Stegostoma tigrinum: one gene and its partners. The protein of the gene in region 3 interacts with the protein of the main gene of each other region in a pairwise test. Links are inferred from orthologs where the notes say so. Each region holds a gene or a part of one and is shown on either strand. Other genes may lie near its edges. The genes, in order: trim23, vapb, usp20 and bend7.

Region 1 (7,489 bases), on a different chromosome or scaffold from region 3:
AGAAGTGGTGGACGTCAGTGCAGTTATAAAATTTAAAAGATACTTACATAACTACACGAATATGAAAGGTTTGGAGTGTTATCGCCCAGGAGCAGGCAGCTGGGACTAGTTTAATTTGGGATTATGTTCAGCACGGATGGTTGGACCGAAGGGTCCATTTCGCTGCTATATAACATAACAACATCACAACCAAACTCAATGACATTTTCACTTCACCTCAACCTGGTAAGTGAAAGTGTGATCTGGAGTGAAAAGAAATTGACTGACATCAGTACTTCTGGGTTAGGCAGGGGGAAATTTTAATACTACTACTTTTATTCCAACTAGCCTTTCCTGACACTGGATAGTCCCAAAGCCACTCAGTTTTTAACATTCCAAGTAAAGTGGCTATCTTTAAACTGCCGTCAAAATATTACTGTCTTAGTCACCAATTTTGTTACAATTTCTCTGTAATTTTTTTTATTTCCAAAGTAGTTCTCTATTTCACTTATTATAGAAACACTAAAAATAATCAATGAAGACATGCTGCAAATTATATATTATAAACGTATAAAATAAACCAGCAATCCTCAACTACATACAGCTTTTGCTGAATTACGTTGTAGCTTCAGAATGAAAATTACAAATGGAAATTTTTTAAAATTTAAATATTAGACCTTTCATTAATATAGCTTGTCTAAAACATTTTAAAAAAACTGACTTTTGTATATTTATGAGATAATACATGTCTAGTCTACGATAGATGATTCCATCAATAACATTAGCTGAAACTTAGTTTTGTTGTGCACAAAACTGGATAAATCATCAACAAATGTTGGGTTTAAGAATAAATATTTTTAAGTCTCTCTTTTTAAGATACCATAGAACGAAAGTATTTTTCAGGAGAATACTTATTGGAATGTCAGCGCTTGGAAAACAGTACATAAATTTATGAATTTGGCATGTCAAATTCCAATTTTCTCATGTGAGATAATGCATTATCACGTGCACAAGGCAAAACATCAACACAGTGGTGATGTCACAGGATGACCAAAATGCCTGTGCAACTACAAAAAGATAAACTTTCCTCTTTATCCATCATGACCTTTCACACCCTTTGGTATAATTGACATCATTATCCTCTTTCACTTTGATGGAGCAAAACCAGCATGGTTCCATTCTTGCGTATCCATGCAAAGCCAGAGAATCAACTACAATGTTTTCTATTCCATTCCATTATTTGGGATGCCCAAAGCTCCATCATTGCCCTCATCTGTTTCACATCTACAAACTCTTTCTTGACAACATCAAATGGAAACTTCACGTTTATGCTGATACTGCCTGCTCCACGTCTCTTGGTCCCCTCTGTGGGTATGTTCAACATGTCAGATGAGCAGCAGTTGAAATATTGAGAAGAGTGCAGCCATCATCTTTAGTCCCTACACAAACTCCTTTCCTTGCCATCAACCCCATCCTTTTTGCTCGTCCAAGATTAAAACAGATGCTTCACAATCTACTTTACCTAGAGATGGTTTTTGAATGCATCCTTTACCACCTGTTCCCTCCCCAGTGACAATGCTCAATCTGCCCTTATTTCAGTTCATCAGTTATCAGTTTGTTTTATCAGTAAACTCAAAAATGTTACATTTGGTTCTCTCAGCCAAGTCATATATATAATGTTGTGAACAGCTGGTGCCCAAACAGATTATGCCATTGACTTGTTACTTGGAAAAACTGAGGAGACAACAGGCAAATTACTCACTGCAAAATGCCAAGCCTCTGACATCAGCAATGACATTACATATCAAGAGGCAATGGTTAATTTTTTTTGTTGGAAATGGTCCTTACCTTGCATTTGTCTCACACCAAACATTACGTATTATTTATCGAGCCAAGCCTACACAGGCAATAATCAGAGAATATTCCCACCTCTGACCTCATGATTGAGCCAAGATCATTGATAAAGCAGCTGAAGATGAGTCAATTTATCACATTATCCCAAGGAACTGGAATGGTTCTTGATGCACTGTAGTACTGTCTCTACCTCTAGGTCATAAAGCCTGGGTTCAAATCCCGCCACCAGTGTGTCTGAAAGGTTGGTTGAAAATATTTACCCTCAGGAACTTGGCTCCTGTGGTAAAGTGGTAGTGGTCCTATCTCTGAACAGGTTGCTTAGAAAATATCCAGCCCGAGGAATAAAACATTGGAGCAGGAGTAGACCATTCAGTAAGGCCATTGAACTCAAAATTCTAATCCCTAACCATTGATCCCGTTAGCCACAACAGCATATTTACCTCCTTCTTGAAAATAAAATGTTTTAGCTTCAACCACTTTCTGTGGTAGTGAATTCCACAGGCTCGCCACTCTCTGGGGTGAAGAAATTCCTCATCTCAGCCCTTAAAGGTTTGCCTCTTATCCATAAAGAACTCCAGACCCCTGGTTCTGGAGTTCTCGTCATCAAGAATACCTTTCCTGCACCTATCTTGCTTAGTGATGTTCTTGAACTGAGATGATTGGCTTCTTAACAACTCCAACTACCTTCCTTTATTCTCGGGGTGACTCCTACGAGTGGAGAGTCTTCTGGTCCCCACTGACAAGTGCTGCACACAACGCTATTCTATTGCTTTGCTAACAATCTACAATAAACTGAGTGAGTGATGTTTGACTGGGTTGATTTGGATTTGTCCAGTGTTTTTGAGTACGCAGAAGCCATGTAGAGGACGGGGGGGCAGGGGGCAGGGAGACCAGGCCTGAAAACTAGCCACAGATCGAGCCCAGTCTGAAACTGGCCCGAATGCTTCGTTTTTGGGGGGGCGCACTCACCTTGACCGAGCAGCCGTTGACGGCACGCAGACTGCGAGAGCCACTGTCAGGCCCAGGCCCAAGTCCTGGCCCCAGCGGTGTCAGCAACAACTTCAACGGAGCCGCCGCCATTGTGGATCACACCAGCTCCCAAACCGCGAAAAAGGGGGGGGGATCATTAATATCTTAAATCGGTAAAATCGTAATAATCCCAGGTGAAATCACAAAAAAGCGTTATATTACGAAGCGATTAATAAACATCAAATTTATGTGTAGCTAATCAATTCTTCTGAAACTTATGCGTTGGTCTAATTTTTGTCTAAATCAAATGTCCTTCTTCTTGTCCATTATGGTGTTGTCCGGATGGTGCCGTGCGATATACTGCGCATGCTCACATTGAGACAAGTGGAAGGCCATATTTGGGACAAGACGTTGGCAACGGAGCAATGCTTTGACAGTAGGAAAGGCTTTTCGGTTCGATATCTGGGTAGCGTTCGTTATTCTTCAAAAGAAAATGTATTTTACCAGGTTGATACCAGAAGTGGGAAGAACACGGAAACCACCTGTAAAGGAGATTGTATGTCAACCGGGAAAGACGAGAGTTTAACCTAGTGAAAGAAGAACGAAGTAATGGGAGTTGATCAGACGGCTCATCAACACAAATGAGTTCAACAGAATAATTAGGCTTGAGGACAGACACGTCTTCATTTCGTTCACATATAGTTAATCTTCCAGAAAGAAACCTCTTTCATACCAGCTAATTGCTATCTTAACGTACCCACTCTTCTCCACGAGTCTGCACCCATGTATTCTGTATACAGAAGAAATAATTGTCATCTCTAAAATCGGTTTTTATAATAATTAATTGTGGTTACTTAACATTTAATGTAATTAAACATTCTAAGTGAACACAATTAATTGTAAAAGCTAATTTTAGAAATGATATTTAATGCAATTAAACATTCCAAAGCGTTTCACTGGAGTACGGCTTATTTCCAATCATACTTCCACAGTTTGAAGTAATATTTATCTTAATTTTGCAAAGCCCAGATCTAGCCTCTTTCCACACCAATAACCTTTTTCACATATTTCAGACACCCGGCAGCAGAGATCAACTTCACCACTGCATACTTTCTGCACTTCAGTTATGTGTTGGTGAGCAAAACAAGACTATTTGAATACATGCAGAAACTGTGGTGTACCTACACTAGATAGGCTGCGGTGGTTCAGGAATACAGCTCCTCACCACCTTCTAAAGCAAATTAAAGAGAGACACAACAAATGCTGGCCTGCAGTGACAATCATTTCTCAATGACAATTTTTTAAAAAAAGTTTATCAATCATCATATTTTTGGCATCCCCATTACTTCGTTTTTGCATTGCTCATATTGACCAGAAAGAGCAGTTTTATCACTATTTCTCCTGATGTATTAGCTAGTCGCTATGTAGTTCAACATTCTAACATTTATTTGCTTGCTGTATACACAGATTGTACATGCTTAATTTTCAGTCAGTTTGGGTTGTGGCATTCTTAAGATCATAAGATGTAAAAGCAGAAGTGGATCATTCAGCCCGTTGAATCTATTCCACTATTCAATGAAATCGTGGCTGATCTGATAATCCTCAACTCCACTTCCCTGCCTTTAACTCCTAGGCCTTGATTAAAAATCTCTCTATCTCATCCTTGAATGAACTTAATTACCTAGCCTTGACAGCTTTCTACAGTAAAGAATTCCACAAATTCACTACCCATTGGAGAGAAGAAATTCCTCCTCATTTCTATCTTAAAAGAGGCAACCCTTTGTTCGGAGATTATGCCCTATAGTCCTCGACTGTCCTATAAGGAGAACCAACCTTTCCACATCTAACCTGTCAAGTCCCCTAACCTCCAAGTTTCAAGATGGCACTAACACCGGGCTACCTTTTGCAAGCTCTCTGCAACAGATCTTATTCTCACAGTTCTTATAAGTGTTTAGTGCTTTTACACTGAAATTCTAAGTCTGTAAAAATTATTAAATGTTCTCTGAGATCTGCTTACAGGTCTGATGCAAATAATGTTGATCTCGCTTTGTGCATCTCCTGTGCAGCCATAACCTTGAATGCCTTGCTCTGTCTAGGTGCCCTATAATGCTTGCTTGCTATGATCTGCCTGTACTGTTCACAAAACAAAACTTTTCACTGCCCTTAGGGACATGGGACTACAATAAATCAAATCAAAGACTCTAGTCTATTTCAATAAGTAGAATGAGTATAGGCCCAACCCACTAGATCTCTCCTCATCAGACAGCCCCTTTCCACTTTTTAACATAATTCGTCTTGCAAACAGAAGTTTGCAGTTGTCAGCACTATATCTGATCTGTGATTGATCATCTCACATATATATTTTGTCCAAATGACTTTCTTTTGCTATTTCTATCCTGTTACACTGCTTCTCCTGGCTAAGTGTTCTGTTAAATCTGCAGCAAATGCCGAACATTTCTTTACTCAAATGATAACTAACATATGGAATAATTTACCAGCTAATTTATTATTGTCATACATAGTGATAGGGTTGCAGAGAGGAGCTTGGCAGTGCATGATGTCTACAAAATGCACAGAGTTAGCCAGGCTGATATAGCATGCCTAGCCAAACAGCTCAAAAGGTTAAATTAAGCTGCCTACAGAATAGCCAATTTTTAATAGAACTTTATTTGCTTCTACTGTCCATCACATTTATTTTTGGAACAGTCAATGTTTGAAAACCCAATCGTGCAGATAAGTACTCACTTTAAAAATAGCCTTTGTGGGTGAATTGGGTTTGTTTTCCTATATCCTTTCAATGATCTTACTCAAAATAATGAAAACAGATAAGCATTATTTATAGACACATGCAGGATTTCTATTTTTGTACTTCCGTAGGAACTGTGGTCTTTAGTTTTAATCATGTAACAAACTTAGATATCACAGAGTGCTGATGTAAGTATCTGTTGGGTATATTTGATTGTGATAACTAGTTAAATAGATTTGTTCCTTGTATATTATGTATCTGTTTTGATCTAATCTGAACAAATAATAGTGGATTATCTCTTATATAGTGCAGATAAGTGAGATTGACTGATACAACTTAATGTCATTTTACCAAGGAATTCCTCAAAACTTTATACCTGCAAACCTGTTAGGTATACTGTTACTGAAGATTGGTTGACTTCTGTTACAAATTTTGTAGTATTGTGATTGAGGTGTAATTTGAGGCAAATCACAAAGTGAAACCTGACTTGATGGACTATGAGTTTTATTTCTCATTGTTTATCTTGTAGTTCAATCACTGAACATACCCCCAGAGATTGAATATATACTTTCAATAGAAAAACATAAACCTGTATTAAGCAAAAGAAAAACAAACAAATTATGTTACAGAACACAATAATTATTAAGAACAAAGTCCAATATAGCACAAAAACAGGCCCTTTGGCCCCCCCAAACCTGCGCCGATACAATTTGCCTTTCCATATTAAAACTGTTTCCTCTGTATCCCTCTACTACCTTTCTTTTCATGTATTTGTCCAAGTGCTTCTTGAATGTTTACGTGTTGTCTGCTTACACCACTTTCTCTGGTAGTGCATTCCAGGCACTCGCCACCCTTTGTGTGAAAAATGTGCCTTGCACATCTCCTTTAAACTCCATCTCCCCACACCCACTTTGCACCTTGAACCTGTGTCCCCTACTAATTGATCCCTCCACGCTGAGAAAAAGCCTCATACTTCCCACTCTATCCATGCCATTCATAATCTTATAAACTTCCATCAGGTCGCCCCTCAACATCCTGTATTTCAGTGAAAACAAACCCAGTCTATCCAACCTTTCTTCATAGCTAAAATCTCCCATACCAGGCATCATCCTGATAAACCTTTTCAGTACCCTCTCCAAAGCATCCACATCCTTCTGGTAGTGTGGTGACCAGACTGTATGCAATATTCCAAGTGTGGCCTAACTAAAATTCTATAAAGCTGCAGCATAAGTTGTCTACCATTACATTCAGTATCCCTTCCAATGAAGGCAAGCATGCCAGAAGCCTTTTTTACTAACTTATCTATCTGCACTGCCAGCTTCAGTACCACCTTCACATCTTTCTAAACTCTGCCTACATAATCTCTCCTCTATCTCCCACTGGCTGTTGGGAGGCCTGTATTATACCCCCAGCATTGTGATTTCATCTTTGCTATTCCCAATTTCTGTCCATTCTGCCTTGCTGCATGAATCCTCTGATGTATCCTCCCTCAGTATAGCTGTATGAGATACTCCTTCACCAATAATGCAACTCTCCCAACCCCTTTACATTCCTTTCTATCTCACCTGCAACATCCAAATCCTGGGACATTCGGCTGAGTCCTGTCCCTCTTTCAGCCAAGTCTGCATGATGGCAATAGTGTCATAGTCTCAAGTACTAACCAATCATCTGAGTTCATCCACTTTGCCAATTGTATTTCCTGCATTGAAACACATACATTTCACACACTACCTTCCCTGCTCTTTTCAACAGCATTTCTCTGCCTGTTCCTTATCATGTTTGCCCTGGTTACTACCTCTGTCTCAATTTCTGCATTTACTGCCCTACTGGTCTGGTTCCCATTCCCCTGGCCACATTATTTTAAACCTTCCCCAACCACTCTTCCAAGTGCCTCCTAAAACATCAGTTCCGGTCCTGCCCAGGTGTAACCCATTCAGTTCA
Region 2 (8,293 bases), on a different chromosome or scaffold from region 3:
CGTCGGGGGGGAGGGGGGGACGAGCGTCGGGGGGGAGGGGGGACGAGCGTCGGGGGGGACGAGCGTCGGGGGGGAGGGGGGGACGAGCGTCGGGGGGGAGGGGGGGACGAGCGTCGGGGGGGAGGGGGGGACGAGCGTCGGGGGGGGAGGGGGGGACGAGCGTCGGGGGGGGAGGGGGGGACGAGCGTCGGGGGGGGAGGAGCGTCGGGGGGGGACGGGGGGGGGAGAGGAGGGGACGGGGGGGGGAGAGGAGGGGACGGGGGGGGGAGAGGAGGGGACGGGGGGGGAGAGGAGGGGACGGGGGGGGGAGAGGAGGGGACGGGGGGGGGAGAGGAGGGGACGGGGGGGGGAGAGGAGGGGACGGGGGGGGGAGAGAGGAGGGGACGGGGGGGGGGAGAGAGGAGGGGACGGGGGGGGGGAGAGGAGGGGACGGGGGGGGGAGAGGAGGGGACGGGGGGGGGAGAGGAGGGGACGGGGGGGGGGAGAGGAGGGGACGGGGGGGGGGGAGAGAGGAGGGGACGGGGGGGGGGGAGAGAGGAGGGGACGGGGGGGGGGAGAGAGGAGGGGACGGGGGGGGGGAGAGGAGGGGACGGGGGGGGGGAGAGGAGGGGACGGGGGGGGGGAGAGGAGGGGACGGGGGGGGGAGAGGAGGGGACGGGGGGGGGAGAGGAGGGGACGGGGGGGGAGAGGAGGGGACGGGGGGGGGGAGAGGAGGGGAGGGGGGGGAGAGGAGGGGAGGGGGGGGGGAGAGGAGGGGAGGGGGGGGGGAGAGGAGGGGATGGGGGGGGGAGAGGAGGGGGGGGGAGAAGAGGAGGGGGGGGGGAGAAGAGGAGGGGACGGGGGGGGGGGAAGAGGAGGGGACGGGGGGGGTGGGAAGAGGAGGGGACGGGGGGGGGGTGGGAAGAGGAGGGGACGGGGGGGGGGGTGGGAAGAGGAGGGGACGGGGGGGGGTGGGAAGAGGAGGGGACGGGGGGGGGTGGGAAGAGGAGGGGACGGGGGGGGTGGGAAGAGGAGGGGACGGGGGGGGTGGGAAGAGGAGGGGACGGGGGGGGGGTGGGAAGAGGAGGGGACGGGGGGGGGGTGGGAAGAGGAGGGGACGGGGGGGGGTGGGAAGAGGAGGGGACGGGGGGGGGGTGGGAAGAGGAGGGGACGGGGGGGGGGGGTGGGAAGAGGAGGGGACGGGGGGGGGGGTGGGAAGAGGAGGGGACGGGGGGGGGTGGGAAGAGGAGGGGACGGGGGGGGGTGGGAAGAGGAGGGGACGGGGGGGGGTGGGAAGAGGAGGGGACGGGGGGGGGTGGGAAGAGGAGGGGACGGGGGGGGGGTGGGAAGAGGAGGGGACGGGGGGGGGGTGGGAAGAGGAGGGGACGGGGGGGGGGTGGGAAGAGGAGGGGACGGGGGGGGGTGGGAAGAGGAGGGGACGGGGGGGGGGGAGAGGAGGGGACGGGGGGGGAGAGGAGGGGACGGGGGGGGGAGAGGAGAGGAGGGGACGGGGGGGGGAGAGGAGAGGAGGGGACGGGGGGGTGGGAAGAGGAGGGGACGGGGGGGGGGTGGGAAGAGGAGGGGACGGGGGGGGGGTGGGAAGAGGAGGGGACGGGGGGGGGGTGGGAAGAGGAGGGGACGGGGGGGGGAGAGGAGGGGACGGGGGGGGAGAGGAGGGGACGGGGGGGGGAGAGGAGAGGAGGGGACGGGGGGGGGAGAGGAGAGGAGGGGACGGGGGGGTGGGAAGAGGAGGGGACGGGGGGGGGGGAGAGGAGGGGACGGGGGGGGAGAGGAGGGGACGGGGGGGGGAGAGGAGAGGAGGGGACGGGGGGGGGAGAGGAGAGGAGGGGACGGGGGGGTGGGAAGAGGAGGGGACGGGGGGGGGGTGGGAAGAGGAGGGGACGGGGGGGGGGTGGGAAGAGGAGGGGACGGGGGGGGGGTGGGAAGAGGAGGGGACGGGGGGGGGGTGGGAAGAGGAGGGGACGGGGGGGGGGTGGGAAGAGGAGGGGACGGGGGGGGGTGGGAAGAGGAGGGGACGGGGGGGGTGGGAAGAGGAGGGGACGGGGGGGGGTGGGAAGAGGAGGGGACGGGGGGGGGGGTGGGAAGAGGAGGGGACGGGGGGGGGGGTGGGAAGAGGAGGGGACGGGGGGGGGTGGGATGAGGAGGGGACGGGGGGGGGTGGGAAGAGGAGGGGACGGGGGGGGGAGAGGAGGGGACGGGGGGGGAGAGGAGGGGACGGGGGGGGGAGAGGAGGGGACGGGGGGGGGAGAGGAGGGGACGGGGGGGGGAGAGGAGAGGAGGGGACGGGGGGGGGAGAGGAGAGGAGGGGACGGGGGGGGTGGGGAGAGGAGGGGACGGGGGGGGTGGGGAGAGGAGGGGACGGGGGGGGTGGGGAGAGGAGGGGACGGGGGGGGGTGGGGAGAGGAGGGGACGGGGGGGGGTGGGGAGAGGAGGGGACGGGGGGGGGTGGGGAGAGGAGGGGACGGGGGGGGGTGGGGAGAGGAGGGGACGGGGGGGGGTGGGGAGAGGAGGGGACGGGGGGGGTGGGGAGAGGAGGGGACGGGGGGGGGAGAGGAGGGGACGGGGGGGGGAGAGGAGGGGACGGGGGGGGAGAGGAGGGGACGGGGGGGGGAGAGGAGGGGACGGGGGGGGAGAGGAGGGGACGGGGGGGGGAGAGGAGGGGACGGGGGGGGGAGAGGAGGGGACGGGGGGGGGGGGGGAGAGGAGGGGACGGGGGGGGTGGGGGGAAGGGATATGTTGGGGATATGAGTTACGGGGGTGTGGGGAGGTGGGCGGGTTACAGGGGGATTGTGGGGTGGTGTCAAGGGTTGGGGTGTCGGTCGCCCAGAGGCCAATGCCACATTCTCAGGAGCTGTTACCGTGGGCACTGCCTGCTGTTCCCGGCCTCCCCCCTGCCCGCCGTTCCCACTGACGGGCCGATCCCTCCTCCCATCGCCGGCGTCAGCGGCCGCCTGAACTGTTCCGGTGCGGCTCTAATTTGAAGGGAGTCCGCACACGGGTGGCCTGCCCTTAGAAATGACACTGAACAAGCCCAGCACCAGCCTCTTACCTCGGAATTTGAGCTCGTTGGGCGGCTCCAAGACGAGTAGCTGCTCCGGGCGCGCCATGGCCGACACAGAGAGAAGGAGGGAGGGAGAGGCTGACGTCAGCACCTGCCCAGCACTGACCCCTGTGGCCGGAGACTGAACTGCAGCAACAGGATCCCAGTAAATGGTTCAACCCTCAGCCCAAAACTCCCAGGCATACCGTAAAAACCCTCAAAAACGCCGAGGTGAACCCTCAAACTCCCTGCAATACTCGAAGAACCCCCAAAACTCCCAGGTGAATCCTCAACCTCCTAGAAATGCGCTAAAAACACAAAAACTCTCAGATGAATCCTCAAGCTACCTGGAATACCCTAAAAACCACAAAACTTCTGGGTGATCCCTCAAACTATATGGAATACCCCAAAACCTGAAAACCCCATAGGGTGAAGTCTTGAACCCCCCCGGGTACCCTCAAACTCCAAAAACCTGTAGATGAACCTTCCAACCCAAACATCTACAAATGGGCTGAATCCTAAAACCCCGTGGGAATCCCTCAACCACAAGGGGTGAATCCTCAACCCTCATCGTGTGACCCTATGGAGACCCTAACCTCTCCCCAAAATAAACAAGTTGAACTCTCAAAACCCTATGGGGAATCTTTAAGCATCCCGCTGCCCCTAAACCTGCCAAAAGAAAGAGGAAAAATGACATCACCAACCCGAGGAAACCTAAACAGATAAATAGAAAGCAGGACATAACACCAGCGCTTCACCGGAGGCTCACTGATGATGTTACCTAGAATGGTGACGAAACGTCTGAAAACTAACCTTCCAGCTCAGCGAGCAAACTCACATCCAGAAACTCAACCTGAGCTACAAATGTTCTCAAAACTTGCTAAAGAGAAAAACACTCAAATCCCATGGGGGTAAAATTCAAATCCTCAAACCCCTTGGAAGTAGACCAAAACCCAGGAATCCAAACAGTGAACTCTCATACCCCATTGGGGGACCCTAAATCTCCAAACTCACCATCTTACTTTTAATTTTTTGTAATTATTTCTCTGCCTCAATTAATCAGATTATAGGTCATCCCTTCACTTGCTATTCAGCTGTTGACACTCACACCATCTGACACTTTTGATCACCTCCAGAGACTTGTTAAAAACCGAAAGAACTGCAGGTGCTGTACATCAGTAACAAAAACAAAACCACTGGAAAAGTTTCAGGCCTGGTTCTGAGGAAGGGTCTCTGGGCCTGAAACGTTAACTCTGTTTTTTCCTTCACTGGCATTGCCAGACTTGCTGAGCTTTTCCAGCAACTTTGTTTTTGTTCCAGAGACTTGTTATTCAGCCTGGCATTTGTCAGATCTCTTGATCTCTCTGCCAATAAATTCTGTGCCTCGGTGCTTCTCTTCACTTCATCTGTGCTTCAAAAGCTTCTGATTTCAGATAAACTAGTTGGGCTATAATTTGGTGTCGTATGGCTTCTGACCTTCTCTGAAAAGAGAAATAAGTGGGAAAAATACTCAAATCCCTTGGGGAACACATTTGGGAGGCTGAGGAGGTAATTGAGAGGAGTTACAGAGAGGTAGTCACACCTCAGGTACAGGAAAAATGTAGATGGGCTACAGACAGGGGACAAAAAGGGAACAGGCAGACAGTGCAGGGATCCCCTGTGGCCATTCCCCTCAATATCAACTATACCATTTTGGATACTGTTTGGGAGGATGACTTACCAGGGGTAAGCCATGGGGTACAGGTCTCTGGCACAGAGTCTGCCGCTGTTGCTCGGAAGGGAAGGGGGGAGAGGAGGAGAGCATTAGTCATTGGGGACTCCATAGTTAGGGGGACAGATAGGAGATTCTGTGGGACCTCATGGTCGGTGTGTTGCCTCCCAGGTGTCAGGGTCTGTGACGTCTCGGATCGTGTTTTCAGGATCCTCAAGGGGGAGGGGGAGCAGCCCCAAGTTGTAGTCCACACAGGCCCCAATGACATAGATAGGAAAAGCATAGGGATGTGAGGCAGAAATTCAATGAGTGAGTGTGGAAGCTTAGAGCTCGAACAAACAGAGTTGTTATCTCTGGTTTGTTACCCGTGCCACATGCTAGCGAGGCAAGGAATAGGGAGCGAGAACAGTTGAACATGTGGCTGCAGAGATGATGCAAGAGGGAGGGATTCAGATACCTGGATAATTGGGGGTCATTCTGGGGTAGGTGGGACCTCAACAAAAGGGATGGTCTACAACTGAACCAGAGGGGTACCAATATCCTGGGGGTGAAATTTGCTAATGCTCTTCAGGAGGGTTTAAACTAATTCAGCAGGGAGATGAGAACCTGATTTGTAGCTCCAGTGTACTGGAGGTTCAGAGTAGTGAAGTCGTAAATAAGGTTTCAAGGTCACAGGAGTGTACCGGCAGGCAGGAAGGTGGTTCGAAGTATGTCTACTTCAATGTCAGGAGCGTCCGGAATAAGGTGGTTGAACTTGCAGCATGGGTTGGTACCTGGGACTTCGATGTTGTAGCCATTTCAGAGACATGGATAGAGCAGGGACAGGAATGGTTGTTGCATGTTCCAGGGTTTAGATGTTTCAGTAAGATCAGGGAAGGTGGTAAAAGTGGGCTGGTGTGGCATTGTTAGTCAAGGGCAGCATTACAGTGGCAGAAAGGATGTTTGATGAGAACTCTTCTACTGAGGTAGTATGGGCTGAGGTTAGAAACAGGAAAGGAGAGGTCACCCTGTTGGGAGTTTTCTATCAGCCTCTGAGAAGTTCCAGAGATGTAGAGGAAAGAATTGCCAAGACGATTCTGGATAGGAGCAAAGGTGCAGGGTAGTTGTTATGGGGGACTTTAACTTTCCAAATATTGCCTGGAAATCCTATAGTTCGAGTACATTAGATGGGTCAGTTTTTGTCCAATGTGTGCAGGAGGGTTTCCCGACACAGTATGTAGATAGGCCAGCAAGAGGTGAGGCAACATTGGATTTGGTTTTGTGTAATGAACCAGGCCAAATGTTAAATTTGGGGGAGGTGTGCACTTCGGTGATAGTGACCACAATTTGATTATGTTTACTTTAGCGATGGAAAGGGATAGGTATATACCACAGGGCAAGAGTTATAGCTGGGGGAAAGGCAATTACGATGAGATGCGGCAAGATTTAGGATGCATAGGATGGAGAAGGAAACTGCAGGGGCTGGGCACAATTGAAATGTGGAGCTTGTTCAAAGAACAGCTACTGCGTGTCCTTGATAAGTATGTACCTGTCAGGCACGGAGGAAGTGGTTGAGCGAGGGAACCATGGTTTACTAAAGAAGTTGAATCTCTTATCAAGAGGAAGAGGGAGGTTAATGTAAAGATGAGGCGTGAAGGCTCAGTTAGGGTGCTTGAGAATTACAAGTTAGCCAAGGAGGACCGAAAAAGAGAGCTAAGGAGAGCCAGAAGGGGACATGAGAAGTCTTCTGCAGGTAGGACAAGGAAAACTCTAAAGCTTTCTATAGGTATGTCAGGAATAAAAGAATAACTAGAGTAAGATTAGGTTCAGTCAAGGACAGTAGTGGGAAGTTGTGCATGGAGTCTGAAGAGACAGGAGAGGCGCTAAATAAATACTTTTCGACAGTACTCACACATGAAAAAGACAATGTAGTCGAGGATATTACTGAGATACAGCCTATTAGACTAGACGGGATAGAGGTTCACAAGGAGGAGGTGTTAGTAATTCTGGAAGGTGTGAAAAAAGTAAGTCCCCTGGGCTGGATGGGATGTATCCTAGGATTCTCTGGGAAACTAGGAAGGAGATTGCAGAGCCTTTGGCTTTGATCTTTATGTCGCCATTATGTTCAAGAATAGTGCCAGAAGACTGGAGGATAGCAAATGTTGTTCCCTTGTTCAAGAAGGGGAGGAGGGACAATCCTGGTAATTACAGGCCAGTGAGGCTTACTTCAGTTGTGGATAAAGTGTTGGAAAGGATTATAAGAGATAGGATTTATAATCATCTAGAAAGGAGTAATTTGATTAGGTATAGTTAACACAGTTTTGTGAAGTGTAGGTCATGCCTCACAAACCTTATTGAGTTCTTTGAGAAGGTGACCAAACAGGTGGATGAGGGTGAAGTGGTTGATGTGGTGTATATGGATTTCAGTTAAGCATTTGATAAGGTTCCCCACGGTAGGCTATTGCATAAAATACGTGGTCATGAGATTGAGGGTGATTTAGCAGTTTGGATCAGAAATTGGCTTGCTGGAAGAAGGCAGAGGGTGGTGGTTGAAGGGAAATGTTCATCCTGGAGTTCAGTTACTAGTCGTATACAGCAAGGATCTGTTTTGGGGCCACTGCTGTATGTCATTTTTATAAATGACCTGGATGAGGGCGTAGAAGTAAGTAAATTTACGGATGACACTAAAGTTGGAGGAGTTGTGGATTGTGCGGAAGGATGTTACAGGTTACAGAGGGATATAGATAAGCTGCAGAGATGGGCTGAAAGATGGCAAATGGAGTTTAATGTGGAAAAGTGTGCGGTGATTCACTTTGGAAGGAGTAACAGGAATACAGAGTACTGGGCTAATGGTAAGATTCTTGGTAGTGTGGATGAGCAGAGAGATCTCGGTGTCCATGTACGTAGATCTGTGAAAGTTGCCACCCAGGTTGATAGGGTTGTTAAGAAGGTGTACAGTGTGTTAGGTTTTATTGGTAGAGGGATTGCGTTTCGGAGCCATGAGGTCATGTTACAGCTGTACAAAACTCTGGTGTGGCCGCACTTGGAGTATTGCGTACAGTTCTGGTCGCTGCATTATAGAAGGATGTGGAAGTTTTAGAAAGTGTACAGAGGAGGTTTACCAGGATGTTGTCTGGTATGGAGGGAAGGTATTATGAGGAAAGGCTGTTTTCATTCGAGAGAAGAAGGTTAAGAGGTGACTTAATTGAAACATATAAAATAATCAGAGGGTTAGATAGGGTAGATAGGGAGAGCCTTTTTCCTCAAATGGAGATGGCTAGCATGAGGGGACATAGCTTTAAATTGAGGAGTGATAGATATCGGACAGATGTCAGAGGTAGGCTCTTTACTCAGAGAGTAGTAAGGGCATGGAATGACCTGCCTGCAACAGTAGTAGACTTTCCAAGTTTAAGGGCATTTAAATGGTCATTGGATAAACAAATGGTTGATAATGGAATAGTGTAGGTTAGATGGGCTTCAGTTTGGTTTCACAGGTCAGCACAACATCAAGGGCCGAAGGGCCTGTACTGCGCTGTGGTGTTCTATGTTCTGTGTTCTAACCC
Region 3 (7,540 bases):
CTCCTACTGAATCCAGATGAGGGCAGATATCAGTAGTATCAGACATCTTCCCAAACTTCAGCACTGTAATAAAAATTACAGCTATTAAGATCAAACAGACTGCCCCATTATTGCCATTAGGCGCAGATGTAAATTAATCTGTCTCTAATTTAAAAGCAAAATACTACGGATGCTGGAGATATGATATAAAAACAATGTGCCAGAGATACTCAACAGGTCTGGCAACATTTGTTGACAGTTAACATTTTGTATCCAATTGCTCCAAAGAAGAGTCATAGTGGAACTGAAGCATTAATTCTGTTTCTCTCTCCAGATTCTGCCAGACCAGCTCAAGTTCTCCAGCACATTTTGCCTTTAACATCAGCAAGCTTATTCAACATAATAATATATTAAAAAATTAGAATAGTCAGACAAAAGGTTTGGAATACAAAATACATCCTGATAGAGTCAAACAGCACAGAAACTGACCTTTTGGTCCAACTTGTCCATGGGTCCCTTTTAAATCTTTGTCCTCTCACCTTAAGGTTATACCCTCTAGTTTTGAATTCCCCTACCCTAGGGAAAAGGGCCTTTCCCATTCGCCTTATCAATGTCTCATGATTTTAAAAGCCTCTACCAGGTCATCTCTCAACCTGCTGTGGTTCAGCGAAAAAAAAAAATCCCAGCTTCTAACTCAAGCTCTCCAATCCTGGCAACATCCTTAACTCAAAAAAAAATGTCCTGTTAGTCCTCTGCTGGAATCTCTAATTTCCCAGAATCCATGTAGCAAGTGTGACACCAACTCTATATTGTGATGTCTTTCCAAACAAAAGTCTGTAAATTTCGATGATATTGCCATTTAAATTGCAAGTAAATTGAAAATATTTCCACTTGAAAGACAACTGCAAAGTACAACATTACACAGCAAGATTCCTAAATAACAAAAATTAGAATGAGGTGAAACAGACTGCTTATCTTAGAAGGTTCTGAAGAAGGGTCACTGGACCCAATAAATTAACTCCGATTTCTCTGCAAATGCTGTCAGACCTGCTGAGCTTTTCCAGCAACTTGTTTTTATTTCTGATTTCCAGCATCCACAGTTATTTCAGTTTTTAATTTCGCTTATCAAAAAAATATTGCATTATATCTTGCTTCAGAATACAGCATCTCTGATAATGAGTGTTGTATTATACGATAATGATTAGAAAGGTGCTTTCCTTTCTCCACTCAATCACACGCCCCAATTCTTATTTGGATTACAATTCCTTGTTCGACTCACAGTTCAGACAACATTTATTGATGTGTTAATCTTGACACTCAGCAAATCCCAATTACTTAATCTTTGCGGAATTACAAGCAAATTCAGTTGTTCCCACTGTGTAGCCATTATGACTTTCTTTTTAATTAATTCATAGGATAAGAGTATCACTGGTGAAACTAGCGTCTATAGCTCAACTCCAAATTTGTCTTGACAAGGTGGTCTTAAATCAATGCAGTCCATATGATGCAAGCACACTCCAGTGTTGTGAAAGTGGTCACTGGCCTGAAAGGTGCCAGAGGAGATGGTGAATTGCTGCAGTGCATCTTACGATGGTAGCTACTGCTGCCAATGTATCAGTAGCCAATGGGGTATCAAACAAGTCAACTTCAACATCATTAGTGGTGTTAAATGCCTTGAACGTCATTGAGACTGCTTTCACTGAGACAAGTGGAAATTACTTCATTACAATCTTGGCTTGAGACTTTCAGATGGTGGTCAGGCACTGGGGAGTTAGTCATTACAAATTTCCCAGCTTTTATTCTGCTCTTACAGTCACAGTATCTAGATGGCTGATCCAATTTAGTTTTAGTCAATGTCAGCCTCAGGATACTGATAGAGGGATTCGGTGATGATAATGCCGTTGAACATCAAGGAGTGATGCATAGATGCAATCTGCTTGAAATTGGTCGTCATCTGGGACTTAAACAGCAACAAATGTCACTTATTATCCCAAGCCTGGATGTTGTCCAAATCTTGCAACAAATAGGTACAGGCTCATAGGAGCAAAATTACTGTAGATGCTGGAATCTGTACTGAAAACAGGAAGTGCTGAAATCACAGTGGGTCAGTTCAAAATTCATATCAGCTCTGATACACAGTCATCTAGGCTCAAAATGTTAGATACTGGCTTCTTCAGTGTCTGAAGACATTGCATCACCCATCAGCAAACATCCTCATTTCTTGACAGAGGGAAGGTCATTGATGAAGTAGTTGAAAATTAATTGGTGTGGAACACGACTAATGCTAAACATGAAACAATTCTCTTCAAACCAGATAAAAGTTAAAACCTGCACAAACCCCACCTAGGTTGCCAATGGGCTCAGCGAGGGACCAATGGTTCTGTCTGTCAGCAGCTTCTCCATCTCAACATCAAATCTGCTACACAGATAGCGGAACTGGCTGCGCATTTTAATTTTAACATCAAATAAGTAAAATGCTAGAAAATATTATGCAGCTCTGTTCGCATTGGTGGAAGGAGCAAAGCAAACATCAATGCCTGATGAAATCCATCACGTTTTTTTCCCTCTTGCCAAAAATACTGCTTGAGCTGCTTATTCCCAGCAGTCAGTGTACATTGCCTTTGATACTTTAGGCTTTAATAACAAAACACCTGAACATTCAGATGAAAATACACATTAAAAAGTCGGTGATAGCGAATTGGGCTGATGAAGAGGCACGCACAGACACACCTACCACCACCCCCCCACTCTGAAGCAAATCCTCCTTCTCACACCCAGACTCACAACTGCAATTCAACCCGATTCTGAAACTTACTCCACAAACGCCTGCCCGAGACTCAAAGCAGATCTCCCCCAGACACAAACACGCCCCCACAAGACACCCCTACCCCTACCCCTTCCCAAAGACCCAAACGGGGCCCCCTACCCAAGACTCAAAGTTGTGCCCACCCGCTCTCATGCTGTAACCCCCACCCCCCCAGACTGAGTGCCTAACCCAGCCGCGCCCCCTCCCCATTCAGCGCCGACACCTCAAAGCGACACAAAAGCACCGCTGCGTACATTTGCGCCGAGTTTCAAAATCCGCAGCCGGGTGCGCACAAGGAAGACACGGGGCGTACCTGCGCCTACAATGTCCCGGTGCGGGTCCCGCTTCTTCTCCCGATCCCTTCCCCCCGCTTACGTCTCACGAGATATTTTCCTTCAGCAGAGAATAAGCGGCACCGTCTCCATCTTGGGGAGCTCCAGGGCCACGGCGTGCACTCTGGGGAATGTAGTTCCCGACGGGTGGCCCGGATGGAAGACGACCTCCAACGCCATAGGCCGCCGCTGAGCCTTCTGGGAGATGTAGTTCGTACCGATGCGCCTCCCGCTTTCCCGGATGACGTTCGGTTGCTGTGGCGTCATTTGGGACACACCCCCGAGCGGTCGGATAGTGCGCATGTGCTATGTGGCCACGCCCTGGAATGTCCAGGACTCATGGGCCAGGCCATTCAGCCCAAAAAGTTTATGCTAGCAAAACAATCAGCTTCTTACTTTAATTAAAACAAAAGTCTGTTTTGAAGATAATAAAATGTGAGGGTGGATGAACACAGCAGGCCCAGCAGCATCTCAGGAGCACAAAAGCTGACGTTTCGGGCCTAGACCCTTCATCAGAGAGGGGGATGGGGTGAGGGTTCTGGAATAAATAGGGAGAGGCGGACTGAAGATGGAGAGAAAAGAAGATAGGTGGGGAGGTAGGGCGGGGATAGGTCAGTCCAGGTAAGACGGACAGGTGAAGGAGGTGGGATGAGGTTAGTAGGTAGGAGATGGAGGTGCGGCTTGGGGTGGGTCTGTTTTGAAGAAGGGTTTCAGAGATAGTAGGAACTGCAGATGCTGGAGAATCTGAGGTAACAAGGTGTAGAGCTGGATGAGCACAGCAGGCCAAGCAGCATCAAAGGAGCAGGAAAGCTGATGTTTTGGGCCTAGACCCTTCAGAAGGGTTATCTCTGAAGAAGGGTAACAGGTCTTGAGAGCTAGCTCTGCTTTCTCTCTACAGATGCTGCTAGACCTGCCAATTTTCTCAAGAACTCTCCGTTTTTCATTATTTTCCACCTTTATTCTTTCTTAGCAGGTGAATGTCACTGGCACACATCAGGCATTCTGAAACACGCATTTATTACCCATTCCCAATTGTGCTCTGTCTAAATGGCTTGCAAAGCCATTTTCAGAAATTTCCACAAGATTTGGAATGTGATTCCACAAAAACCAGTTCAGGCCAAACATTACATGATTTCAAGAAGCTATTGGACATAGGACTTGGGGGAGAAAGGATTGAAGGGTATGGGGAAAAAGTGAAAACGGATTATTGAGTTAGATGATCAGCCATGATTATAATGATTGGCAGAGTAGCCCTAAGGTATCAAAAGACCTGCCCCTGCAGCTATTTTCTATTTTTATATGTAACATAGATCCTTAACAATAAAAAGGATTTATGGTGGCAAATCGACAAAATGCAACTCAAATGGTATCAGTGCACATTGCCATAATACATATCAGTTTCTAGTGCTCAGTCTTACTTCCCGTTTTGCTTCTGAATATTTCTTTCAAATGCAGAAAATAGGGTACTGCCATTTAAAACAGCCTTTGCGATCCATCTGCACGTGTCCACTTGCACTCATGACGTACCATTGGTGAAACCATGCAGCAGTGTCAAGTCTATGTGCATGTCCAAAAAAATTTTAAACAATTGCAAACCACATCTAATCTTTGTTGTTCTGTTGTATGTTAAGGCAATCATTGATAAAAAGCTGAAGAGGCTTCTGCCATAAAATTGAAAGGAAAGTGCTTAGATTGGGTACATGTAAAACCAAGAGACAGCTCTTAAGGGAGATCAGAGTTGGGTAAATGGAAGCAAAGTGCAATGGTTCTCTTCAAACGGAGAGGATCCGTACATTATAAAATTGCAATTTCCAGTATGCTGACAATTATCCAGCCTGTCCTCCCAAATGTAATTTCTTTAGGTCTTACTTATAAAACAGGCATGTTGTTGGATGAGAGTTAAAACCAAGACTCCAAATTTAGTGCTCCACCTACTGGTGGCATAGGCCACAATTGTAGCCCTATAATATCTACGGTTAACATCTACACTGCTCCAAACCAAAACACCAGTTTAGACCTGTGACTCTTCTTCACAACCCGACTCCTCACTTTGTCCTTTGTTCTGTGGTACGTTGCTCCGATCCAGGGCCAAGAGACAGGAATCACAAAACCTGGTGCTGCTCCTGGGAACGTGGCTCCCAACCTGATCACAAAAAGTCCCACCTCCTGACCCAAGCACGGTTGGCCTCTTAAAGAGATAATGGGAACTGCAAATGCTGGAGAATTCCAAGATAATAGAATGTGAGGCTGGATGAACACAGCAGGCCAAGCAGCATCTCAGGAGCACAAAAGCTGACGTTTCGGGCCTAGACCCTTCATCAGACAGTCTGATGAAGGGTCTAGGCCCGAAACGTCAGCTTTTGTGCTCCTGAGATGCTGCTTGGCCTGCTGTGTTCATCCAGCCTCACATTTTATTATCTTGGCCTCTTAAAGCACCAGTCTCCGTTATTGGGCTCTGGTGTACACCCTTGTTCCAAGATGCCCTGACTTTCCCTTATGTTCCATTCCCTCTTTTTCTACACTACCAAAATCATCACTTTTCCAACAACTTGCAGTTCCAAAGAAACTCAAAACATTAACTGTGTTTATTCCTTTCCACAGATGCTGCCGGGCCTGCTGGGTTTCTCCAGCATGTTCTTATTTTATTCTGTCTTCTCAATATTTTTCAGTGGGACGAGGATGAAAGAAAAGGTCTGTGATAGAGTTGCAACAGGGAGAAATTGAATGACAGAAAATTTAATCCTGAGGGCTAAAGTGAAAGCGCTGAAAACCTATAAGGATCTGGATAACTATTTTTCCTAATTCTAATAAAAAGTCCAAGATCTCAAATCATTGGGGGGAATGTGGGCGGGCGTTGAATCTTGACAGAGTGGATGTGGAAAAGATGTTTCTTCTTGTGGGAGAATCTAGAACTAGAGGTCAGTCATTGAAAAAAAGAAAGAAATTTACATTTTTTTATTGTCACATGTACTCAAGTACAGGAGTACAGTGAAAAGTGTCAAATGTCACCAAGTTACCTTGGTATCTAGGTACAAAGTGATAGAGAGAAACAAAGTTAAAAGTTCAACATTACAGACCACCTCGAGAAAAATAAAGAGATAAGGTAATAGTTAACATTGAAGTTCTTCTTAATATTAAGTAGAAAAATAAAGAAATATTTAAAATTTCAACTGTCTTTCTTGAGCGCTTAGCCATGCTGGGGCCCCAATCTCCTCCACTTAGTTCGTTCTCTGGTGACCCTAGCAGCGTTTCCTCACCGCCGCTGACACAGATACTGGGGGACATCCCTCACCGCTCATTCCTCCCATGTTCTCATAGATGGTCCCATCTTCCTCAAAAGGCAGTATAAGCAGAGTCCTTGATTATCTTTAAAGCAGAGGGAGCTAAATTCTTGATAAGCAAGTAGGTGAGAGATTATCAGTGGTATGCAAGCATGTAATCAGAACACCACGATCCTACTGAATGGCAGAACAGGCTTGAGAGGTCGAGCATAATAATCCTGCTCCCATTATTTTATATATAGAAAATATTAATTAAGTATCTCTCTCTCTACACAAATACTTCAATAAACTGATGAGTTCAGATTGTGGTTGATCTTTTTACAACATGAAAGGTTAAGGAGATATACGCTGGGGACAAAAGACCACAAGAAATAGGAGATAGTAAGAACTGCCGATGCTGGAGTCAGAGATTAGACAGTGTTGAGCTGGAGGTACACAGCAAGCCAGGAAACATCAGAGAGGCAGGAACATTGACATTTCAGGTCAGGACCCTTCTTCAGAAAAATACATCAACTTTCTCGCTCCTCTGATGCTGCCTGACCTGCTGTGTTCCTCCAGCTCCACATTTTTTTTTTGTAAAAAGAAATAAGAGCAAGGATATTGCATTTGACAAAAACAGAAATTGCTGAAGAAACTCAACAGGCCCGCGGAGATAAGTAGGTGTAGACCTGGAGTAAACTTTGGATCCTGTGAGCCGCCTTCGCAACGGTCCTGAAACATCAACATCCTCTTTCTTTCCACAGAAACTGCTGACTTTCTCGAGAATCCAGTGTTTTGCTTCTTCGGGTGAGTTATTGAAGAAGGCGTGAGTATCCCTGCGGGGCGTGAGTATCTGTACTGCACAGACTGTGAGAATGGCAACATTGCGGGACTGGGTCACATGATGCCGTGCCCGCTGCACTGTGGGAAATGGAGTCCGGGAGTCGCCGGAACCTGTCCGTTGAACCGGAAGTTCCTCGGTCCGACCTCCGTTGTCAGTCTGCCGCGAAAGTCGGTGTGGTTTAGTGAGTAACGGGGTTTTGAAAAGAAACTGTGTTTGAGCTAAAAGAAGGTTGCACTGGGCCCCGGAATGCCGGCGGGGAAGAGCTACCGCAGGAGGAGAGAGGAAGAGTCGGATGAGGAGGATGAGCAGAGGGTGGTGG
Region 4 (7,923 bases), on a different chromosome or scaffold from region 3:
CCCCCACGGTGATTGAGAACGCCCTTGACCGCGTCTCCCGCATTTCCCGCAACAAATCCCTCAGACCCCGCCCCCGCCACAACCGCCCCAAGAGGATCCCCCTCGTTCTCACACACCACCCTACCAACCTCCGGATACAACGCATTATCCTCCGACACTTCTGCCATTTACAATCCGACCCCACCACCCAAGACATTTTTCCATCCCCTCCCCTGTCTGCTTTCCGGAGAGACCACTCTCTCCGTGACTCCCTTGTTCGCTCCACACTGCCCTCCAACCCCACCACACCCGGCACCTTCCCCTGCAACCGCAGGAAATGCTACACTTGTCCCCACACCTCCTCCCTCACCCCCATCCCAGGCCCCAAGATGACATTCCACATTAAGCAGAGGTTCACCTGCACATCTGCCAATGTGGTATACTGCATCCACTGTACCCGGTGCGGCTTCCTCTACATTGGGGAAACCAAGCGGAGGCTTGGGGACCGCTTTGCAGAACACCTCCGCTCAGTTCGCAACAAACAACTGCACCTCCCAGTCGCAAACCATTTCCACTCCCCCTCCCATTCTCTTTATGACATGTCCATCATGGGCCTCCTGCACTGCCACAATGATGCCACCCGAAGGTTGCAGGAACAGCAACTCATATTCCGCCTGGGAACCCTGCAGCCATATGGTATCAATGTGGACTTCACCAGTTTCAAAATCTCCCCTTCCCCTACTGCATCCCTAAACCAGCCCAGTTCATCCCCTCCCCCCACTGCACCACACAACCAGCCCAGCTCTTCCCCCCCACCCACTGCATCCCAAAACCAGTCCAACCTGTCTCTGCCTCCCTAACCGGTTCTTCCTCTCACCCATCCCTTCCTCCCACCCCAAGCCGCACCCCCAGCTACCTACTAACCTCATCCCACCTCCTTGACCTGTCCGTCTTCCCTGGACTGACCTATCCCCTCCCTACCTCCCCACCTACACCCTCTCCACCTATCTTCTTTACTCTCCATCTTCGGTCCGCCTCCCCCTCTCTCCCTGTTTATTCCAGTTCCCTCCCCCCATCCCCCACTCTGATGAAGGGTCTAGGCCCGAAACGTCAGCTTTTGTGCTCCTGAGATGCTGCTTGGCCTGCTGTGTTCATCCAGCCTCACGTTTTATTGCTTAATATGTAATCCCCCTTGTCCCCACAACGCATCATCCTCCGACACTTCCGCCACCTGCAGTCCGACCCCACCACCCAAGAAATTTTTCCATCCCCACCCTTCTCTGCTTTCCAGAGAGACCACTCTCTCCGTGACTCCCTTGTCCGCTCCACACTCCCCTCCAACCCCACCACACCAGGCACCTTTCCCTACAACCGCAGGAAGTGCTACACTTGCCCCCACACCTCCTCCCTCACCCCCATCCCAAGCCAAGATGACTTTCCACATTAAGCAGATGTTCACCTGCACGTCTGCCAAAGTGGTATACTGTATCCACTTTGCCCGGTGTGGCTTCCTCTACATTGGGGAAACCAAGTGGAGGCTTGGGGACCACTTTGCAGAACACCTCCGCTCGGTTTGCAATAAGCAACTGTACCGGGTGGCACGGTGGCTGAGTGGTTAGCACTGTAGCCTCACAGTGCCAGGGACCCGGGTTCAATTCCAGCCTTAGGGGACTGTCTGTGTGGAGTTTGCACGTTCTTTCCGTGTCTGCATGGGTCTCCTCCCACAGTCCAAAGATGTGCAGGTCAGGTGGATTGGCTGTGCTAAATTGCCCATAGTGTTCAGGGGTGTGTGGGTTATTTGGGGATGGGTCTGGGTGGGATGTTCCAAGGGGTGGTGTGGACTTGTCGGGCCAAAGGGCTTGTTTCGACACTGTAGGGAATCTAATCTGAAAACCTCCCAGTCGCAAACCATTTTAACCCCCCCCTCCCATTCCTCAGACGACATGTCCATCATGGGCCTCCTGCAGTGCCACAGTGATGCCACCCGAAGGTTGCAGGAACAGCAACTCATATTCCGCTTGGGAACCCTGCGGCCCAATGATATCAATGTGGATTTCACTAGCTTCAAAATCTCCCCTCCCCCACTGCAACCCAAAACCAGCCCAGTTCGTACCCTCCTCCCTAACCTGTTCTTCCTCTCACCTATCCCCTCCTCCCACCTCAAGTTGCACCTCCTTTTCCCAACTACCAACCTCATCCCGCCTCCTTGACCTATCCCCTCCCCAACTATACTCTCCTCTCCACCTATCTTCTTTTCTCTCCATTTTCAGTCCGCCTCCCCCTCTCTCCCTATTTATTCCAGAAGCCTCTCCCCATCCCCCTCTCTGGAGGAGGATCTAGGCCCGAAACGTCAGCTTTTGTGCTCCTGAGATACTGCTTGGCCTGCTGTGTTCATCCAGCTCCACACTTTGTTGTCTCATATTCAAGACTGTGATTTGAAATTAGGGCAGAACTCAATTCTCCACCCCAACGAACCACACATGCCAGCATCGCACATGCCTCCCCCGCTGACCCCCAAAATCAGCGCAACTACACCCTGACCATCAAACTTAGCGCTCTCTCCCTCACCCCTGGGGACCAGCTCTCCCACTTCTGGCGTCTGCTCACTCCCGGGGCCGGCTCTCTCTCTACCTCCCCCCAACCCCGGGGGCCTGCTCTTCACCTCACACCCCCCCAGGGGCCTGCTTTCCAGCCTTGCCCCTACTTCTCCTCACACCCCACCCCTTCCCCTCAACGTCCCCCTCCATGCCTCCTGAGGGCTGGCAACGTCCCCCGCCATCCTCTCACCCCTCCCACAGGGAATGGCTCTCCCACCCCCTTACCCTCACCTCCGGGGCCAGGTGTCCTCTCCCTCTCCCCCTCCCCACTGGGGCCAGGTGTCCTCCTCCCTCCTCTCTCACCCCCACCCCCCTGGGGGCCAGCTATACCCCCACCTCTCCCTCACCCCCCCGGGGCCGGTTGTCTCCTCCCCGCCCCCACCCCCAGGGGCCGGCTGTTCTCCCTCACCCCCCGGGGCCCGGCTGTTCTCCTCCCCCTCCCCCCGGGGCCGGCTGTTCTCCTCCCCCCGGGGCCGGCTGTTCTCCTCCCCCTCCCCAGGGCCGGCTGTTCTCCTCCCCCTCCCCACCCCCACGGGGCCGGCTGTTCTCCTCCCCCTCCCCACCCCCCCGGGGCCGGCTGTTCTCCTCCCCCTCCCCACCCCCCCGGGGCCGGCTGTTCTCCTCCCCCTCCCCACCCCCACGGGGCCGGCTGTTCTCCTCCCCACCCCCACGGGGCCCGGCTGTTCTCCTCCTCCTCCTCCCCTTCCCCACCCCCCGGGGCCGGCTGTTCTCCTCCCCCACCCCCCGGGGCCGGCTGTTCTCCCTCACCCCCGGGGCCCGGCTTTCCTCCAGGAGCCGTCGTTTCCTCTCGATCTCCGCCTTCAGCTGCTCCATCCGCGCGGCCGCCGCCACAACAACGTCGTCACGTCCGGGTCAGAGGGCGAGGCGCCGGAAACCCGCCGCCGCACCACAGCGACGGCGCGGCCTAGCCGTCGATTAGACCAAATCCGCCCTCACCTTCCCCCCCCCCGAAGTAATCCAAGCCGCGGAACACCGCCAAATAACTTCAAAAGGATTCGCACATTTAAATAACTATAGACCCTATACTAAAAGTAAATATTTCATAAATAATTTTATATTACTCCACGTTTTAACAAATCATAAGAATTGGTAACTCCATTTCTCTGTCCAGAGCAGCTCCTGTTTATATTTTATTGCCTTTGAGAAGCTGCTTCCTTGAACCACAGCAATCCGTTTTCAATGGATGCAACTCTCTGAGAATCCATTCCCAAAGTTTGCTATCAACTGAGGATAAACTGGTTTTCCAGTTTCTCCTTCCCTCGTTTTAAACTTTTAGAAGACACAATTCCAAACTGTCGAGAGTTTAGGAGCAATTTATGAATAATCCATCTGCAATATCCTTATCTACTGTTTTTAAAAGCATGCAATGGGAACCATCAGATATGGAGATTTGCCGCACAATTCCTCAGACAGTACTGACTTCAGGGGTGGAGGATGTAGTGTTTCCCTCATGCAGAAAGGAGTCTCCCCCTTGGTGGAATGTCCTCCCCTGTTACACGAGGAGCGCGCCCATTAGGGAGCATGGAGTGTCCCCCTCGTGGAGGATGTAGTCTCTCCCCGGCGGAGTGTCCCCCTCGTGGAGGATGTAGTCTCTCCCCGGCGGAGTGTCCCCCTCGTGGAGGATGTAGTCTCTCCCCGGCGGAGTGTCCCCCTCGTGGAGGATGTAGTCTCTCCCCGGCGGAGTGTCCCCCTCGTGGAGGATGTAGTCTCTCCCCGGCGGAGTGTCCCCCTCGTGGAGGATGTAGTCTCTCCCCGGCGGAGTGTCCCCCTCGTGGAGGATGTAGTCTCTCCCCGGCGGAGTGTCCCCCTCGTGGAGGATGTAGTCTCTCCCCGGCGGAGTGTCCCCCTCGTGGAGGATGTAGTCTCTCCCCGGCGGAGTGTCCCCCTCGTGGAGGATGTAGTCTCTCCCCGGTGGAGCGTCCCCCTGGCGGAGTGTGAAGTGTCTCCCCGGTGGAGCGTCCCCCTGGCGGAGTGTGAAGTGTCTCCCTGGCGGAGCGTCCCCCTGGCGGAGTGTGAAGTGTCTCCCTGGCGGAGGGTCCCCCTGGCGGAGTGTGCAGTGTCTCCCTGGCGGAGTGTAAAGTGTCTCCCTGGCGGAGTGTAAAGTGTCCCCCTGGCGGAGTGTGCAGTGTCCCCCTGGCGGAGTGTGAAGTGTCTCCCGGATGAAGGGTCCCCCCCGGGTGGAGTCCTTTTCCTCCTGAGGGCGGTCGGCGGTCGGTCGCGGCTCCCTCTCCCGCTGATTGCCGGCGCCTGGTCTCCGGGAAAGTGAAGCGGCGGCTCGGGCAGACGGTGGGGTGAGCCGGTCCCCGGACGAGTGTGGGAGTTGCGGCGGGATCGATGGAAGTCACCGAGTGGAAAAGGAGCAGGAAAACGCGGAGCTTTAGGAGAGCGAATGAAGGTGAGAGAGCGCGGCCTGGACCAACATTAAACCATTTACCAAGGAAACAGTAACCAACAAGCCCATTAACCAGGGAAACATAACCCAGCCGCACCATCAACCTGGGGAACAATAACCAGCAAAGCCATTAACTACCGAAACATCAAGCAGTAAAATCCTTAACCAGAAAAACATTAACCAAAAAAAAACCCGCCAACCTGGGAACATAGCGAGATAAATCTTTAACCAGGGGAATACTAACCAGCATAAGTCACCAACTAGTTATCACAGATTGAGGAAGGGGACATCTAAATTTGAAATTAGATTTATTGCAGAAGTTAGGAGCTTCCTTTTTCTAATAGTAACTGGGATCTGGTTTTGTGATCGTTTTCAGCAGTTTGCGCCTTTGCCTGTGCTAATCTTCACTGTACCTCACTCAATTTCTACTGTGGGTGTGAAGCAAACTCAATTTCCCGAGGAATGAGCTTAATATCGCAGCTTGAGCAGCCACCAGACAGAGAGGCTCTGATTGAGGATTTATTACAATCCCTGAGTCAATCAAAATGTGAATTCTTCCTGATTAAAATTACATCTGGAAAACACCACAAATCAGTGGTAAAGGTGAACTCAAGGTATTTGGGCAGGTATGTGAATAGGAAAGGTTTAGAGGGATATGGGCCAACTGTAGGCAGATGGGACTAGGTCAGTTTATGAACCCTTGTCAGGATTGGATGAGTGAGACCAAAGTGTCCATTTCTGAACTTTTAACCTGGCTTTTAAACACAGGTTGACGGAACGCACAAACCAGATTCTGTACTTGACAAGAACTATTTGTTTATTACAAGTAAATATAATTACTGTTTATTAATGTAAGTAGATTTGAACTACAGAAACAATTATGAACCATCAACAGATCACTCTACCAGTTAAAATTCAAATGCATTTGTAAACTCCCCTCGTCACATGTACAGAGACAAACAAACAGAGACAAAAAATGGTGTTATGGATGGAAGGAAAGACTGGCAGGTGGTTCATAGTCATAGAGGTGTACAGCATGGAAACAGAACTTTTGGTCCACTTGGCCGTACCAACCAGATACCCTAAATAATCTAGTCCCATTTGCCAGCATTTGGCCCAAATCCCTCTGAAACCCTTTCTATCCATGTACCCATCCAGTTGCCTTTTAAATAATTTACAATTGTACCAGCCTCCTCCACTTCCTCTGGCAGCTCATTTCTAGACAGGGACCACCCTCTATGTGGAAAAGGTTGCCCCTTAGGTCCCTTTTAAATCTTTCCTGTCTCCCCTTAAACCAATTCTCTTTAGTTCTGGATTCCCCTACTCTGGGGAAAAGAGCTTGGCTATTCACCCTACCAATGCCCCTCATGATTATACATATGGTTATAAGGTCATCCCTCAGTATCCGATGCTCCAGGGACAATAGCCCCAGCCCATTCAGTCTCTCCCTATAGCTCAATCCCTCCAAACCTGGCAACATCCTGGCTCAAGATAATAAAATGTGAGGCTGGATGAACACAGCAGGCCCAGCAGCATCTCAGGAGCACAAAAGCTGACGTTTTGGGCCTAGACGCTTCATCAGAGAGGGGGATGGGGTGAGGGTTCTGGAATAAATAGGGAGACAGGGGGAGGCGGATCGAAGATGGAGAGAAAAGAAGATAGGTAGGGAGGGGATAGGTCAGTCCAGGGAAGACGGACAGGTCAAGGAGGTGAGGATGAGGTTAGTAGGTAGGAGCTGGAGGTGTGCCTTGGGGTGGGAGGAAGGGATGCGTGAGAGGAAGAACAGGTTAGGGAGGCAGAGACAGGTTGGACTGGTTTTGGGATGCAGTGGGTGGAGGGGAAGAGCTGGGCTGGTTGTGTGGTGCAGTGGGGGGAGGGGACGAACTGGACTGGTTTAGGGATGCGGTGGGGGAAGGGAAGATTTTGAAGCTGGTGAAGTGCACATTGATACCATTGGGCTGCAGGGTTCCCAAGCGGAATATGAGTTGCTGTTCCTGCAACCTTCGGGTGGCATCATTGTGGCACTGCAGGAGGCTCATGATGGACATGTCATCTAAAGAATGGGAGGGGGAGTGGAAATGGTTTGCGACTGGGAGGTGCAGTTGTTTGTTGTGAACTGAGCGGAGGTGTTCTGAAAGCTGTCCCCAAGCCTCCGCTTGGTTTCCCCAATGTAGAGGAAGCCACACCGGGCACAGTGGATACAGTTTACCACATTGTCAGATGTGCAGGTGAACCTCTGCTTAATATGGACAGTCATCTTGGGGCCTGGGATAGGGGTGAGGGAGGAGGTGTGGGGACAAGTGTAGCATTTCCTGCGGTTGCAGGGGAAGGTGCCGGGTGTGGTGGGGTTGGAGGGCAGTGTGGAGCGAACAAGGGAGTCACGGAGAGAGTGGTCTCTCCGGAAAGCAGACAAGGGTGGGGATGGAAAAATGTCTTGGGTGGTGGGTTCGGATTGTAGATGGCGGAAACCTGGTTCAGAGGTCTCTCAGCAGGGTTTGCTGTGCTGATCCTTTTACTGATCAGAAAGGTGCTTTTTAATCTTCTTTCTCCAGGTACTTCCGCTTGGTTGCAGGAGTCACAGGGTGAGTGGTTCAACTTATAAATATTGCTGACTTATTAATTAAAGGTTGCAGCTTACAGCAATGGTTAAGGGGAAATAAACAGCCTGAGATGGTTTTACTGCATAACAAAAACAGCTCTTTCCTGCCCATAAGTGCGATGGCTTCTGACCCAACTATTCACGCTTTCATGCTGTTCAGCTACCTGGGAACTAAGCATGGAGGCAGGCTGGAATGCTCTGTCATTGATAATTAGTCATAAATCCACAGACCAAACAGCTGCTTGTTGGCAGCCAAAGCTCCAACTGTACACGATCCCCGGCTCTAATTTGTCTGTAACTAAGCCTTCCCCACTATTTGAGCCAATAGCTGTTTA

The links.
Region 1: the proteins of usp20 (region 3) and trim23 interact in binary tests that used the Homo sapiens proteins (3 or more experiments, as listed by UniProt). The link is inferred for Stegostoma tigrinum from reciprocal best matches to the Homo sapiens genes USP20 and TRIM23.
Region 2: the proteins of usp20 (region 3) and vapb interact in binary tests that used the Homo sapiens proteins (3 or more experiments, as listed by UniProt). The two-hybrid records come from large-scale screens. The link is inferred for Stegostoma tigrinum from reciprocal best matches to the Homo sapiens genes USP20 and VAPB.
Region 4: the proteins of usp20 (region 3) and bend7 interact in binary tests that used the Homo sapiens proteins (3 or more experiments, as listed by UniProt). The two-hybrid records come from large-scale screens. The link is inferred for Stegostoma tigrinum from reciprocal best matches to the Homo sapiens genes USP20 and BEND7.

Annotation. Positions count from the first base shown.
Region 1 is NC_081354.1:117,893,357-117,900,845, reverse strand, and holds the start of trim23 (E3 ubiquitin-protein ligase TRIM23), read right to left. Parts: upstream 3,156-7,489; 5' UTR 2,914-3,155; coding exon 2,803-2,913; intron 1-2,802.
Region 2 is NC_081372.1:60,747,105-60,755,397, forward strand, and holds the start of vapb (vesicle-associated membrane protein-associated protein B/C), read right to left. Parts: upstream 3,167-8,293; 5' UTR 3,108-3,166; coding exon 3,050-3,107; intron 1-3,049. UniProt on the Homo sapiens protein: Endoplasmic reticulum (ER)-anchored protein that mediates the formation of contact sites between the ER and endosomes via interaction with FFAT motif-containing proteins such as STARD3 or WDR44.
Region 3 is NC_081382.1:39,295,070-39,302,609, forward strand, and holds the start of usp20 (ubiquitin carboxyl-terminal hydrolase 20), read right to left. Parts: upstream 3,230-7,540; 5' UTR 3,099-3,229; intron 64-3,098; 5' UTR 47-63; coding exon 1-46. Other genes in the region: c29h9orf78 (splicing factor C9orf78 homolog), read left to right, coding at 7,468-7,540.
Region 4 is NC_081378.1:4,517,120-4,525,042, forward strand, and holds the start of bend7 (BEN domain-containing protein 7), read left to right. Parts: upstream 1-4,718; 5' UTR 4,719-4,931; coding exon 4,932-4,992; intron 4,993-7,923. Other genes in the region: prpf18 (pre-mRNA-splicing factor 18), read right to left, coding at 3,345-3,410.